Linked DNA regions of Cricetulus griseus. The protein of the gene in region 3 interacts with the protein of the main gene of each other region in a pairwise test. Links are inferred from orthologs where the notes say so. Each region holds a gene or a part of one and is shown on either strand. Other genes may lie near its edges.

Region 1 (4,877 bases), on a different chromosome or scaffold from region 3:
GGAAAACTCCAAGAGGCTGGTTGGATAGGCATCTCCAGTCATTATTGTGGGGGGTTGGGAGTGAAGAGCAGGCCTCGGACAAGTTGACTTGGCAAGAGGAAGACATGCAGGTAGGTGGGAAGCAGGCCTGGAATTGCCTGAGCTGCAAGTGAGGAGATGTCCAACTCTGGCAGGATTCCAACCAAAGGTGGCCCAGGGAAGGGGGGGGGGTCTCACCTGGATCCCTTCAAGGAGGAAAGATAGGTGCTCTCTCGGGCTACTTGGCGGGACAATGAGAAGAGTTCTACCCTTCGAAGTAAAAGTGTGTTGTCCCTCATGCAGAACTGGGCAGCAGCCTCGTTGATGGTCAGCTGTGGCAAGAGGACAGCCAGTGTGAATGCCGATTCTCCTACTGTTTCACCCCTTCACCGCCAGGGGGGAGGGGGAGCCCATCCAAGGGATGCTAGCTTTAAATAAAACCCAGGAACATCCCGAAGGTTAGACGGGAGGGACTCATAGCGTCCCAACCAGGACCTCCTCTGTATCTGAGGGGACTTCAGCAGCTGGACAGTTGGGCTCACTGCCATCTCAGCTTGCCCTTCAGCTGGTGGAGGTACAACAGCAGCTGGGGCTGGGAGTGTGTGCGTGCATGGAACTCGGGTGGCCAAGGGGACAATGATCCAGAGTTTGAGGATGCAAGAATTCCCAGGGGCCAATCGACTGAACTCCAGAAGTTAAGGGCAGTCCTGAGAACCTGGGCCCTCACCTCATGCAAGCTGAGCTGCTTGCCCTCGCGCCGCTTGGAGTCCAGGCGGCCATAGATGATGCTGTACTTCCGGATCTCCTCTTCTTTCTGGCTGTCGTTGTCATCCATCTCAAAGATGTGGCCCACACTCCGCGCCAGCTTCTTATTCAGCTTCAGCAGGGATGTGACCTCTCCAGCATCACCCCTGGGGAAACTCCGGAAGATCCTCTCCACACTCTCTACCACCATCCGTACCATTTCCGGTTCCAGGCGGTCTGGACCACCCCCAGTCCCACCGGCAGCCATCCCCACCGCCCCAGTCCCCTCGGGGACTCCTCCCGATGCAGGTGGGGAGAAAGGGGGTGACCCAGCCTCCTCTTCTCCGCCTGCTCCAACGTCAGATTCTGGAGTACTCTGGCCCGGCCAGATCCGGGGATCCCCTGCTCCAGGTCCTCCAGGAAGCGGTGACAGCTTCTCTCCAAGTTCAAGGGGACTCTTGGGACTAAAACTTCGGGCACTGCCTGCCTTTTCTCCCGGGCTGCCGTGCCCATTGCTCATGCTCCCTTTCCGAGTACCCGCCGTCTCAGAGATCTTGAAAAGTGGGATGCTGGAGACGGGTACAGCAGGCACTGGCTGGCTGAAGAGCCCTGGGTTGGTGGCCCACTCTCTCAGAGCCTTCTGTAGACGTCGGACATGGAGTGGTTTGGTGGCCATGCCCACAAGTGCCATGATTTCCAGAAACTCCTCCTCACCGGCTTCACACAGCTGCTGCACATCGTCCCCTCCCTGCTGGATGAAGGTCTCGTAGTAGGAAAGGAGGTTGGCACGCTGCAGGACCCGATACAGCTGCAGCTCACCCAGCGTTCGAGGCAGTGCCATGGTCGAGGCACTTGCCCTGAGAAGGAAGGGCAGGAGAGGCAGTGAGTACAAGTGCCCTGCTGGGTACCAACCCACACTAACAATTCTCCTCTCTTTTCTGCCTCCTCCTCCTCATCCCTTCTCTTTTGAATGCCTTCTCTGCCCAGTGCCCAAGGCCGAGTACTCTGAGAACTGAGTATTGCTCAGAGGCATAGCCGTGCCCATGCCGGCAATCTCAGACTAGCCAGAAGCACCGAAAACCAGTGCCCTATCTACAGCTGTCGGGAAACCCCTTACCTCATCTTTTGCTTTGATCTTTCTGGTCTGGGGCAGCACAACCTTGAACACGGAAGGCCCACTAGCACTTCCCTGAAATGGCTAGACCCACTTTACCCAAAATTACAGTCCTTCCCCCTCCCCCACTCAGCAGCCTCAACGTTATGCATGTAACATCCCACATTAAAGTTAACTTAGGAAACGAGGGGCTACTCCTTGCCCAGGTAGCTGAGAGGAAGGGGTGTGGCCTCTTCCTTGGCTTTTCAGTGAACCTATTGGACCTTTGGCGCCTCTGCTCTCAGTTTTCTGAGATTAGAAGTTACCAAACCCTCCGAGTATCTGTCTCAACTTTCCAGGCTGCCCGGTACCCTCCAGTTGCCCCCCTCCCTTCATGTGGCCCTCCCCACTATTCAGCAAGCCCCTCTCTTCTTCTCAGGCAATGGGGGAGGGAAGCTTTGATTGTTCTGCTCCGGGGCCCTTCTTCCCACACACTCCTACAGTGGCAGCGTCTGTGGGCGAAAACCGCCTGGGGGCTCCCGCCTACTCTCGTCTCCCTTATTTTCCACCCTAATCTTCTGAAAGGGAGTGAGGGAGCGGCTGAAGGCCTCCTGAGGAAGGGGCTGCCAAGGGGAAACTACCCCTCCTTACGCTGTGGTCATTTAATGAGAAGGGGCGCCTGAAGCACGCCCCCTTCAAGCCCCAAAGACGGCCCCTTAACCCAAAAGAACCCGGACCTAGGGATGGTGCCACCTTCTAGTGACACTGAACCAGCTAAGCGCCCCCACCCCTCTCACTGTTGTCAGATCAAGGTCTGGAGCTTTCCCCTGGCGCTTGGGGACATTCTTTTCAGGGGGCTCACGTGCCAGGTCATGCCCACTGAGCAAGCCTGGAATGGAAAACGAGGCAGTACTCTAGCGTATCCAGGTTCATCCGGTCTTTGTTTGCTCCCAAGGTCCCCTAATTCGAACACTTACCCCCTCTTCTATCAGTCTCCACCTCCCACCCCCTTGCAGCCTCCCCACGTCCTCTTTGAGACCTCCACCCTCCCGGACCCCATTCCCGAGTCCAGCTCCACCCATCTCCACTCCCCGACACCTCCTTTTGCCCACTAACTTGAGTCGGGGCTGCGGGGTCCGGCGGGTGTTATCCCCTCTGCCAGGTGGCTGCTCCGCTGTAGGAGAGGGCGCTCTGTGCATGGAAGGCCAGAGATCACCCGAGCCTCCCCTCTCGGTTCCCGGCGCCTGCTGAGCGCTGCGCTTTGCCTGGCGCGCGCGTCCCCGTCCACCGCTGTCCAGGCTCCGTCCCTCCCTCCACGTCTCCTCTCTCCGAGCCTCCGCGCCTCTGTGTGTGCCTCTGCCCCCACCTCCCCGGCTGCGCCTGCCGCCTCTCCGCGCCTCCTCCCCCGCAGGACGCACGGGGAGCGAGGCCGGGCGCTGCGCTGGCTGCCGGGCTGGCGGGAGGAGGGCGTGGGCAGAACCGGGGGCTGGGACCGGAGGCGGGGGGTGGGAGCCGAGGCCTCCGAGAGGCTGTTGAGGGGACTGAGAGGAGGAGACTTGGGGGTGGGGGAAAGGTGTGGAGCAGGAGGCGGAGGCGGTGACTCGAGAGTCGGGCGCCAAGTTGGGGACCGAGGTGGCCGAGGCCGGGCTGTGGAGGGCGGGAGCTTGGAGACCCAACGGGCGGGGCAGGTCGCTCCATGCCGCCCACGCCGGATGCACAGCCGGCCCTCTCTGCGCCCACGTACCCACGTGAGCACCCCGCCGGCTACATTCCTACTCCCTGCACCACTCCTACCCCTGTGAGCCGAGAGCGCGGTTTCACAACCACGCACAAGTATACAAAGACACCGAAGCGCACTTACGTGCACACAGGCGTCCAAACAACAACGACGCGGGCGCCCGGTGCCCACAACTCCGGCACTCTGGCACTCCGGCCGTTGGCCGTTCGTTTGAATGCTAGGAGTGAGCGGGGAAAAGTTGGTGAAGGCTCGGGTGTGAGGTTCCTCTCCTCCTCCTAGGATGCACGCTTAGGGTTAAAAACCTGTGGGTGTGGGGCTTCGCAGGAATTCCTGCCGAGCCTGGCCACCCTTCTCTGGCCCTAAAAGTTGTAATTTGAAGAGGCGGCCCCCAGAAACCTTGTCGTCTCCCTGCCTGTCTCTAGTTGTCGAAGTTTAATAGATGGGTTATGCTAGAAGCTACAACTTCCTCGGGCCTCCATTAGGCACGCACGTCGGGGTTTGCTAGGTAGGGCAGGGATGGGGATACCCCATGCTTTCCTCTATTCGTGGCACCGTTTTTTGTGATGACCAGGCCTTATTGCTTGGACGATTGGGTGGCAAAGGCAGGAAAAGGCGGCTACGTTTTTCTGGGGTCGTGTGTCATCGGACATCTCTGGACACCCTGTAAGGGAAGGTGAACGACTAGACTGCAAGACAGCCCACCGTGGAGGAGCGCCTTCAAGGAGCCCAGCCCCCTCCGTTTCTTCCAGCCCCATCTGGTTCCCATTACACACGCCCACGGCTAGGAGGGCTGGGGGGGGGGGGGCTGGGCACGCAGGGCCGTGCAGGCCTTGGGGAAAAGGGCGGTGGGAAACGCTGCGGACTGGCCACAGGCAACATCCCTTTAGTTCCAAGCCCCAGCCCCGCCCCTCGGCTCCGCACTTGTGAGTGGCTCGCCCTGCCAGGGCGTGGGTGGCGTGGGCCAGGGCGGGTTCTACATTCCACATTCATTCCAGACTGGCCAGGGAATCTCTCTCGGTTTCCAGTTAGAGGGATGGGTTCTTTTTCGAGTGGGGAACGATTTCAAGAACTCCGGGGTTTTGTCTTCATCCCGTTAAATGCCCAACGCGGTAGGGAGGAGCAGCACCGGCCTCCTTCCGACCCCGTTTGCCTGCGAGACCAGACGGCCTCCCTAGGAGGTACCCGATCCCTTCGGGGTGTGTGGCGCCCTTCCCCCACTCCCCCGTCCGGTTATTTTGGAGTCTGGGCTGCCAGCGCCGTCCCGGGTTTCCTCGTGCCCCCGCC
Region 2 (4,876 bases), on a different chromosome or scaffold from region 3:
GGCATGAATTGTTTTCTTACCTTAATAGCAAAATACAATTTTGTTTTAATATAATGCCACTGAACTAACAGAATGCAACAAATATCAGTCACAGATGATGCACACATTGCAATAGTCTTAACTCATATGAAAGCAAAGGTCAAGATTCATCAGACAGCTAAGTGGGTAAAAGCACTGTCAGTGAGCCTTAGAACCTGAGTTCAACCCCCATAACATATGTAAAAGAAGAAGAGAACCAACCCCACAAAGATGCCCTCTGACCTCCACGTATGGGTCATTCGTGTACATGTTCTGCTCACCATCTCTGTGTAAACCATATACATATACACTCTCACAATAATATGTTTTAATTTTAAAAAGAAAGCAAATGTTCAAAATAAAAAATTTAAGATTGATCCCTTTTATCACTGCAGAATTTCTTCGTAAAAATTAAAACAAGCTTGCAAAAAATATTAAGCATCTAAGGAATTCATTTGTTCTCAAGGCAAGGAATGATATTTGCCAGCGTGAGTTAATTTAAATAGTGTTGATTTACATGCTCAAAGAAATGTGTCACCCTGCAAAATTTGTTTGTTTGTTTTGTTTTGTTTTATTCTTAAACTATTAGTAAGAAAGCTGGATGTCAGGTCTCAAACCTGGGACAATTGCTAACATATCAAAGTGGACCTGGCCACTACATTATCCTAGTATTCCTCAGTCCCTAACTGTTACAGGGTATGGCTGACATAGCCCACTTCCTAAACTTTTCCAGCCCAGGGGTTGGGGTGCCCTTTCCCCAGATGCCCTTGTCTATATAACCCAGACATATTGGTTACCAAACCCTTTTTGTTTACTCTCTACTCTCCCGGCTCTCCCCTTGTCCCTCTCCTCATGTGACCCAGCTCAGGATCATGTTCACTCTGGACTCTGATGTACCTGCCTCTGGCTATACTCTCCCCGTAAACTTTCTCCTCCACCATACCTAGGAGCAGTCATGTCTCTTTTATTTTTGTTTGTTTTTGTGTTTGTTTGTTTTTAGTCACTGATCAATTTGTTGACACTAGGAACAATATCAGCTGTCAACTAAAAACAAGTCAAATGCTTTTGAGCATTTTCTCTCAGCTTTTGTTGAGTTTTGTTTGCTTACTCTATTTAATTTTTGACAGTCTCACTATGTAACCTAGGCTAGGCCAGAACTTAAGATCTCCTCCCTCTGCCTTCCCAGAACAGGGATTGTAAGTGTGTACCACCTGCCCAGCTTTTTCTCTGGCTTTTGTTTAGGAGAGGATGCTGCAAAGGTGTCCATGAATTACTCTTGGAAACCCATCAGTGCTGAGTTGTAAATGACCTCGAGGAAGAAGCCAAATCCTCAGCCTCCAACTCAAACACTTCAGGGAGCAAGAGAAAAAGAATGATCTGCTACTTCTCATCTCAACACACTCCCTGTTAAGCCCTTTTCTGTTGGTTCAGCTCTCCTTCTCTTATCTACTTCTGCCCACCCATCCACTTCTTTAACTAACCATAACATCTCTTGTAGAATGTCATCCTACATTCCACACCCCCTGCAAATGAAATGCTTTGGGTTCAACATGCAGAAGATTAGCTTTGCTGGCTAACACAGCTATGAAAATGTTGAATTTCTAGTGTAACTAAAATTTTATTCCAGTAGAATGAAGTAGACGCATCAAAGGCTGTGAAGTATATCCCCATAGTGAACTCATTGTCTTGGGAAAGAAGAACAGCTGAGACTCCCTGCTTCTCTTCAGTAGAGACAGATCTAGCTGTAGAGGAGGACAGGTCCAAGTGGGCAGCACTACTACAGATGCTTGGCCTCCAAATACTACATCATACTTGTTTCAGAAATGCTTAAGACTGTAGTAAGATGACTCAGGTAAGGTACCCAAGACAACATGAAATTCAGTTATATTTTATCTTCTAACTGAAAGTAATCAAATACCACATTTTATCATTTTGCTATGTGAAACAAAGTTTAACGATGTGTAATTTTCCATTCCTTGACACCATGTAAGCACGCAAAAAGTTACATATTTAGAAATATTTCTTGTTTTGGGTTTCTTTTTTTTTTAGGTCAGGGATGTACAACCTACCCTTCCATCCTCCTAAGGTATTATTTCAGACCTTCATCATTCTTTCCATCCCTCCTACCTCATCACTTGATTCTTAAGTATATGGTCCTGGTTGATTCTTACCTCATAAAGTCACACCAAGTCAGCTTTCAACTTTGTGTCACAAGCCAATACACCCACCTACACCTAGCCACCTATGCTTTGTCTCTGAGCTGCAATAACAGAAAGGTTCATCCACTTGTTTTCCAGGCCCATTGCCTCTTTTTACAGTGGATAGAAGGTTTTAGATGGTTTTTTCGATTTTTCTATTACGTGTTCCATGTGTTCCTGAATCAAAATAAAACCCATTTCCCTTCCCCTCACAAACCCCGTTAAAGCATAATGCTCACTCACCATCCCCCTTCTTACCCTCTACACCTCACACTCACCACTGTTCCTGGAGAGACTGCCTGGGCTATAAATGAGCACCAGCTCAGCAGTGGTGCTGTTGACTATTCTCTGAATTGTTCTGTTTCCTCGTGGCACTGTCTCTTCACAAAAAAAAAAAAAAAAAAAAAAAAAAAAAAAAAAAAAAAAAAAAAAAGGATGGGGATACTAGGGAGCAATGTCTGAATGACCAGAGCCTGGGAGTATTTCCAGATGTGGGTTGTAGCACACCAAGGGTGACACTGTTAACTTCCATCATATTTGAGTGCTTGTCTTACCTGCTGAAATAAGAGTTCCTCAGCTTTGAGTCGCTCCAGCATTTCCTGCTCCATCAGTGCTAATTCTCTCTCATGCTCCAACTCAATCATCTCTTTCTGTCTCTAGCAATTGGTAAAAAGCAACAGCACACAACTTATTAGAGACCAATCTGTTAACACAGTCTCAGAGGCATCTCAACCACCAGCAATAAAAGAAGGGCTAAGAACATAATGCTCTATTCATTTGGAAACTATACAACAATTTGGGGGATTTTTATGATTTAGCCAAACAAAGAACACACAATTAAGATTATACATCAAATATAAAGAAAAATGAAACCAATCTACAGACAAACATGTCAGGAAAAGACACTACTGGGTTGAAAATACTTAAAATCAAAACAGAAGCCTTCTTTCTGTTTTCTCTCCTCTCTGCATTCACATACTGTCCAAAGTTTTCATATAATAAACATTATTGTAATGGAAAAACAATATTGAACATAAAATGTAAACAAGATGAACCAATTATCATGCTCTTCTAATTTCCTGAAAGGAGATCCATATTTACCAATTGCTCCATGATCACATTTTGCTTGTACTTATAAATCCACAAGGCTAAATATTCTATTGGATCCAATGGGCGGACTCTTGCCACTTCAGCGAGACCTTGAGTCAGGCATGTCCCCAGGCACTTTTGAAGATATGATGACTCCATTTTTAATTCCTAAATAAAATGATCTATAAAAGTTTTTCATTAGAGCCAAAAGTGTTCTGAATAGGCAGAGTTAAAAGTAAAGTCAAGCTAAGCAGTGGTGGAATTCATCTATAATCCCTGAACTATGGAGGCAAGTAGGGGCAGGCAGATCTCTGAACTTAAGGCCACCTTGGTCTATAGAGAGAGTTCTTGGTCTACAGAGAGAGTTCCAGGTCTACAGAGAGTACCCAGAGAAACCCTGTCCATATATATATATATATGGCTACCGGAACATTCCACTCTGTCACTAGTCATGGGTATTTCTTATTAAGGATGAAATAAGCAGGCTGGCCCAAGGAAACTCCAAATGGTCTACAAAAGGTCTCTGCAGAAGTCATAGTGAAAATAGCTACTACATCCTGACAGTTCTTGTTTAGTCCCAGGGTCAGAAATGGGCACTAGTGTTATTCATCACATTGTGCCAAGTAATGCTGGTGCCAGTTAATGCCCACAACATCTCAGGCAATGGTCAGACAGGGAAGCAAACTCAAAGAGCTTTAGTGAACAGTCCAGAGCACTTGACTGGCATGTGAATGTATGGTTTGTACCCACTGCCTGACCTCAGAACCTTAAGTCTATTGACTCTAAGATGCTTCTGCTATGTACTTCCATAAAACATCACAAACTGTCCATCTCTTCTGAAAAATCATGTATTGTCAAAGCCAGAGAATACAAATTCAGATTCCAATAAACAGCATGCAATTACTCATAATCTAGCCATAAACTTTAGGCTTACCTCAAGCACCTGCCTGTCATCATCCACCCTAGGCCCTTACTCTACCAAATATTCTGCCATTCTACACAACACACCCTGCACTTTTCCAACTCCACGATCCTCCCTCTATTGTTGGAACATGGCTCCTCACCTTCAAGGTACAGACCAGCTCTAGCTCTAAGAGTTTTTTCAACCAGTACAAGAAGGTTCCTCCTGCTTCAAGTAGTTCATACAGCCTTCATCATGCTGCCTGAGATGAGAGAGAGAGAGAGAGAGAACATGCATGCATGTAGGCATACCATGCACCTATGCTTGTCTTTCTTCTAGAAGACAGACCCCTCTAGGTTCCCAAGGAGTATTTTGGTCACAGGGCTAACAGCACTGAGCAAGTTTGTGCCCACTCCCAGCTGTTTCCCAGTCTTTTCAGATATGAACATTGTTGCATGGCTCCTTCTGGGTTGACTATTTCTATTTACCCCAGAAGGATAAAAGACTGAACATATGATTCTACTCAAGCTCAGAATTGTAACCCAGTGTATTTATTGGGATTGCCCACAGAAGCTACGGTAAGAATATATGTTCCAGTGAGAAGTTTACTAATATTGCTTTGTTAAACGTATGTAATCTGTCTGTCAGTTGCCTTCTAAACATCTGCATT
Region 3 (4,871 bases):
CTGTGCAGCAGAGCTCACTGACACTGTGCAGTCCTGTCCGACCAGGCCTCTCTCTGCCTGATCATCTTTTGTTCCCCTGAATCAGCCCAACATGAATCCAGATTCAAACACGATCTGAAAACACCATGTCACCTACCCAGGCAAAGCAATGGAAGGCTCTTAATTCTCACCTCACGAAGTCTAGGATTGTTTTTCTTCCAGTGGTCATATAAAAGCTGTTCAGCAATCTATGGAGAAAACACAGAAGAACACCATACATCGATGTTCAAATCCATTCACCTAGACAAAGCCAATAGAAGTCAGCTGAGGTCATGACCTCCATTCAGCAATGTCAACACATCTGTCACTCAAGTCTGCTTTCCTTACACACAAGTCTGGGGACAGGATATCTGAGCAGAATGGACCAAGAGCTAGCTAAAATCTGATGCTATGGCTGGCTTCCTTCTAGGAGTTTCCAAGTCCATAGCAAGTTGAAACACACAGACTGAGGCTAGTTACCATAGCCACTTGAAGATAAAATACAGTGTTCCCAGACCTTTGTGGAACCACAGAACTGAGCACAGGAAGGAGGAATCACTTGTAGTGATTTGTAAGGCAGAGAAGGGAGCTACCACATATCAAACACTCCCTGTAAAGACACTTAAGAGTGGGCCCTGGCTTTTTGTCGGCCCTCACTCTTGCTGGCAAACTCATTCACCCTGTTCTGTGGCCAGTATTAACTCCATTCTTACAGAAAGAAAACCAGATGTTAGCCATCACACACCTTTAATCCCAGCATTTGGGAGGCAGAGGCAGGTGGATCTTTGAGTTTGAGGCCAGCCTGGTCTACACAGCGGGTTCCAGGACAGCCAGGGCTACATGTGGTGGTGATACATTATTTATGATTTAATAAAAAGTGTCGTAGGTAGAGAAAGCAAAGCCAGTCATTAGCTCTTAGCTCTACCTCAGGTTGAAAGGGCTGTCCTGTCTCCAGGAACTCTTCACCAAGCCTCAGACTGCTGCCTCTCCTCAGCGTGGCTGGAGAATAAACCTCAGAATTCAGCCTGAGACACTGGGCTCCTGTCTTTTATAAACCTCTCTAGGGCTGGGATTAAAGACATGTGATCTCAAGTGCTGGGATCTAAGGCATGAGAGCTCTGTTACTCTTCACTCTTATGTAGGCCAGGGTGGCCTTGAACTCAGAGAGATCAACTTGCCTATCTCCTGAGTCCTGGGATCAAAGGTGTGTACCACCACTGCTTGGCTTCTACAGCTAAATAGTGGTCTGGCTTTGCTTTCTGATACTTCAGGCAATCTTTATTAAACATAAATGATACATCACCACAGCTTCACAGAGAAACCCTGTCTCAGAAAAAAACATAGCTGTCCTCCCCACCTCCGGCAAATCCTTAACATTCTACCATATCTGGTTCTGATCACAGGCTCACATTTTAAATGCTTGCCCTCAGCCAGGCACGTTATTCACCTTTCATCCCAGCATGAGGAAGTCAGAGGCAGCCAGGTCTCTGTGACTTTGAGGTCAGGCTGGTCTACAAAGAAAGTTCCAGGCAAACCAGGACTACATGGTGAGACACGTTCAAAACAGCAACAAAAAACCAACAGCAAAAATAATTGCTCCCCAGCTGGTGGCACTATTCAGAGGAGCCTGGGTGCCTTTAGTGGTGAGGAATTAGCTCGAGGAAGCAGCCCCCCCCCCCCGGCATGTCATTGAATGTTATAAACCAAACCCTACTTCTAATGGCTTGAGACCATCTAAAGCCAAGAGCTAAAATAGACTTTTTCTCCCTAAATAAATAAAGTGCTTTCCCCATGGACTCTTAGAATCATCTGGCCAACTCATCTGACCAAGGCACCCAAGAATAACCCCACAGATGCAACGGTCAGTTCAGCCTTCAGACACTCCCACTCTGCAACCTTGTTTGGGTCTAGGCTGGTTACCAGTTTCCTTCGTTCTTCTCGGGCTGACTTCAGATCCTTGTGCTGTTCCCTGATTTTTCGTTCCTGCAGGTTCACATTCAACCTCAGCTCTTCCAGCTCAGCGGCCAGCAGGTCCTGCTCCTCCAGCACAAGCTGCCTGAGTCTCTCACGGCGGGCTTCCAGACTCATCCTCTTCTCCTCCTTCATCTTCTCACGATGGTAGGCGTTCATGCTAGGTAAGGAGCCCACTGAGAATCAGCCACACCCAGGCCACAGTTTCATATGCATTTCTATATATGTTGGGGGGCGGGTATTTAAACACAAACACCTACAGAAAAGATGACTGATAGATTTTATCTTTCAAAATGCATGTTATTTCACTGGTTATTCTACACACACACACACACACACACACACACACACACACACACACACACACACACCACCCCATTTCCAGCTAGAATAGCATCACCATATAGATTACTCATGCTGTCACAAGCCACAGTACTTAGGCCCTGAGGCCACATGCCCCCAGCAGCTAATGGTAGGAATCAGCAGGCAGGACATTGATACTTGCCTCCTTTGGTAGGAGGTCTTGGAACTCCATTCGGCCAGTTTGGAGCTGTGGATGTCCGTAGTCTTGAAATAACGGCTGTTCTGCTCCCACTGCTGGCGAAGCTGGGCCTCCTGCTCTTGCTGGCGTTGGCGTGCTACCTTCTTGTCCAGGGGTCTCCGGGTGAGCCAATAAGAGGGCAGCGTGGGGAGCGCCATCTGAAGGGGACATCAGCGGGCAGAATCGAAGCCAGCTGCAAACTCAGGAACTTACTTGGATGGTCTCCTGTCTTTTACGAGGGCGCTCGCCCTTTGGCTGCACCTTTATAACAGCTTTAGGATCCACATTGCCACCCAAAACTTTACAACGAGGCCCAGGCCCGCACGTTTTAAATGATGTGCCACTGAGGCTGCAAATTATCAAATTAAATGAACCTGGACTGTGCCCGGCAGCGAGCCAGCCATTATCAGGGACGTTACCGACACAGACATCTTCCTGACAAGGCCGGGAAAGGCATAAAATGACAGGGGCAAGCAGGGCTCCGCGGCAGGCCCCAGCAGCCCCAAGGACTTTGGAGGCCGAAGCAGGACGAGATCACTTGAGTCCAGGAGTTCAAAGCCAATCTGGGCAAAACAGGAAGCCCTGTCCCCAGAGCAACAAAAGTAACTAAAGGCGATGACTTAGTTATCAGTGTGTGCGAGCACCGGACATGCACCCCATCCGGTGTCCGGAGACCTCCGACCAGCGAAGACAGCGGACGTCTCGGCCCAGCCTAGCCTCTGACTTGTGTTTCCCTGCACCCCAAGTTCTCCAAGAAGAGGCTCCGGCCTAAGCCCGAGCACGCGCTCACCAGATCCGAGAGTTCTGTGGCGCCAGCGGCAGCGACGCCAGCCGTTTCCCCTTCGGTTGCCCGGCAGCCCGCGGGACGACGGAGGCCGCGAAGGCCAAAGTACCTCCTGCACGACGCAGCCGCTCACCAGGAAAAAGAAGGGAAGTTGTTGTTCTGGCGCCCCCTCGCGGTAGGAGGAAAATCGACAGCAAGTGTCGCTAGGTGCCAGAGTGAGTCATGACCCAGAGTCAGGGTGGCGGTCCCCGGGGTGGGGGTGAAAACCAAGGGAATAGGAGAGAGGAGAATTAAGCCCATGTTTCTCAAATAGGGCACATCAAAATCATCCAGGGAGACGCCCCGAGGGAAAAAGAAATGATTTTCAGTGCTCCCTGGGTGTTGCCCGGTAGGCAGCAGAGGCCAGTAACAGCTGGTCTGGGTAATTACAAGTCTTTGGTAAATTCCTACTGATGTCTTGGATTACTGGTGGGTACAGAGGTTTTAATAACTGTAACTCACATGATTGCACGTATTTATGCATTAACTATTCCATTTTTAAAAAAGCAGGGCTGGGGAACTCCGCGATTGTGTGTGCTTAGCAAGTGCAAAGCTCTGAACTCACAATCCCCAGCACCCAGCACCCAGAATGCTGAGACATGAGACATAAGACTATAAGTTTATTATAAGGCCCGGCAGAGTAGGGAGACTAAGAGAAGAGGAACAGGGTAATGGCTGACTGCCATGGTCGGTCACCATAGAGAGACAGAGAGAGAGCATAGGTGGGAGACAGAGTAGAGAGAAAGCAGAGACAAAGCAGAGTGGGGAAACAGAGAGGAAACAGAGAGCATAAATGGGCAGGGACCTGTCCTTTTAAAGGGGTCCTCTGTATCTGCGTGCAGACTTAGTTCCCATGGAATCTTGGGCTGACCAGGGTACTGCCTGTTCCACCAGGTAACAGGAGCAGGCCAGCATAATGCCTGAACCTTTCATTCCCACCTCTACTTATTATTTTAAAAAGGTGGGGTGTTAGACATGGCAGGTTAAGGAATAAGGGCGTCGAATTCTCAAGACTGCTTCCTGCTGATGTGGGGGGCGTTGACCATCTTTGGGGGACCCGAGAAGGTTGGGGTGCTGCCACGTCCTGGGGAAGCTGGTTGTTTCATTGAAGTCCAGGCTGTATGGAACTCCCTGATGCCTCTTAGACCTGGCAAGATGTTGACAGAGCAGAGGACAAGGTTAAGTTTAGAAAAAAATTTTTTCTTAGATCCTGTCACTTGAGGGGAAGATTGTAAGATGAGGGAGGGGTTCCTGAGGAGTCCCAAGATGAATGAAGGGAATTTGGGACCGGGGAAAGGTTGAATATTACATGAAGTGAATCTGACCTGTTTGGATCTGATTCGGCTCCCTGGAACTTACAAGAATCCTTAGAGTTTGTGGAAACATAAGTATTAGACATGTTAGAAGCATATTCATGTTAGAAGCAACTTGGCTGAAAGTATTACCATTTAAAAATAGACAGATTTTTTTGGGGGGACCATGAAAAGCATCTTAATCTTGACCTTGTAGTTATGTTCC

The links. The genes of interacting proteins can lie anywhere in the genome.
Region 1: the proteins of Tchp (region 3) and Nab2 interact in binary tests that used the Homo sapiens proteins (3 or more experiments, as listed by UniProt). The two-hybrid records come from large-scale screens. The link is inferred for Cricetulus griseus from reciprocal best matches to the Homo sapiens genes TCHP and NAB2.
Region 2: the proteins of Tchp (region 3) and Dydc1 interact in binary tests that used the Homo sapiens proteins (3 or more experiments, as listed by UniProt). The two-hybrid records come from large-scale screens. The link is inferred for Cricetulus griseus from reciprocal best matches to the Homo sapiens genes TCHP and DYDC1.

The regions. Positions count from the first base shown.
Region 1 is NW_023276806.1:130,077,711-130,082,587, reverse strand, and holds the start of Nab2 (NGFI-A-binding protein 2), read right to left. Parts: upstream 3,465-4,877; 5' UTR 3,055-3,464; coding exon 2,972-3,054; intron 1,620-2,971; coding exon 746-1,619; intron 351-745; coding exon 217-350; intron 1-216. UniProt on the Homo sapiens protein: Acts as a transcriptional repressor for zinc finger transcription factors EGR1 and EGR2. Isoform 2 lacks repression ability.
Region 2 is NW_023276807.1:179,044,609-179,049,484, forward strand, and holds the start of Dydc1 (DPY30 domain-containing protein 1), read right to left. Parts: upstream 3,465-4,876; coding exon 3,318-3,464; intron 2,873-3,317; coding exon 2,771-2,872; intron 1-2,770. UniProt on the Homo sapiens protein: Functions as part of axonemal radial spoke complexes that play an important part in the motility of sperm and cilia. Plays a crucial role during acrosome biogenesis.
Region 3 is NC_048597.1:94,317,798-94,322,668, reverse strand, and holds the start of Tchp (trichoplein keratin filament-binding protein), read right to left. Parts: upstream 3,466-4,871; 5' UTR 3,321-3,465; intron 2,724-3,320; exon of another isoform or gene 2,689-2,723; coding exon 2,495-2,688; intron 2,150-2,494; coding exon 1,939-2,149; intron 228-1,938; coding exon 171-227; intron 1-170. UniProt on the Homo sapiens protein: Tumor suppressor which has the ability to inhibit cell growth and be pro-apoptotic during cell stress. Inhibits cell growth in bladder and prostate cancer cells by a down-regulation of HSPB1 by inhibiting its phosphorylation.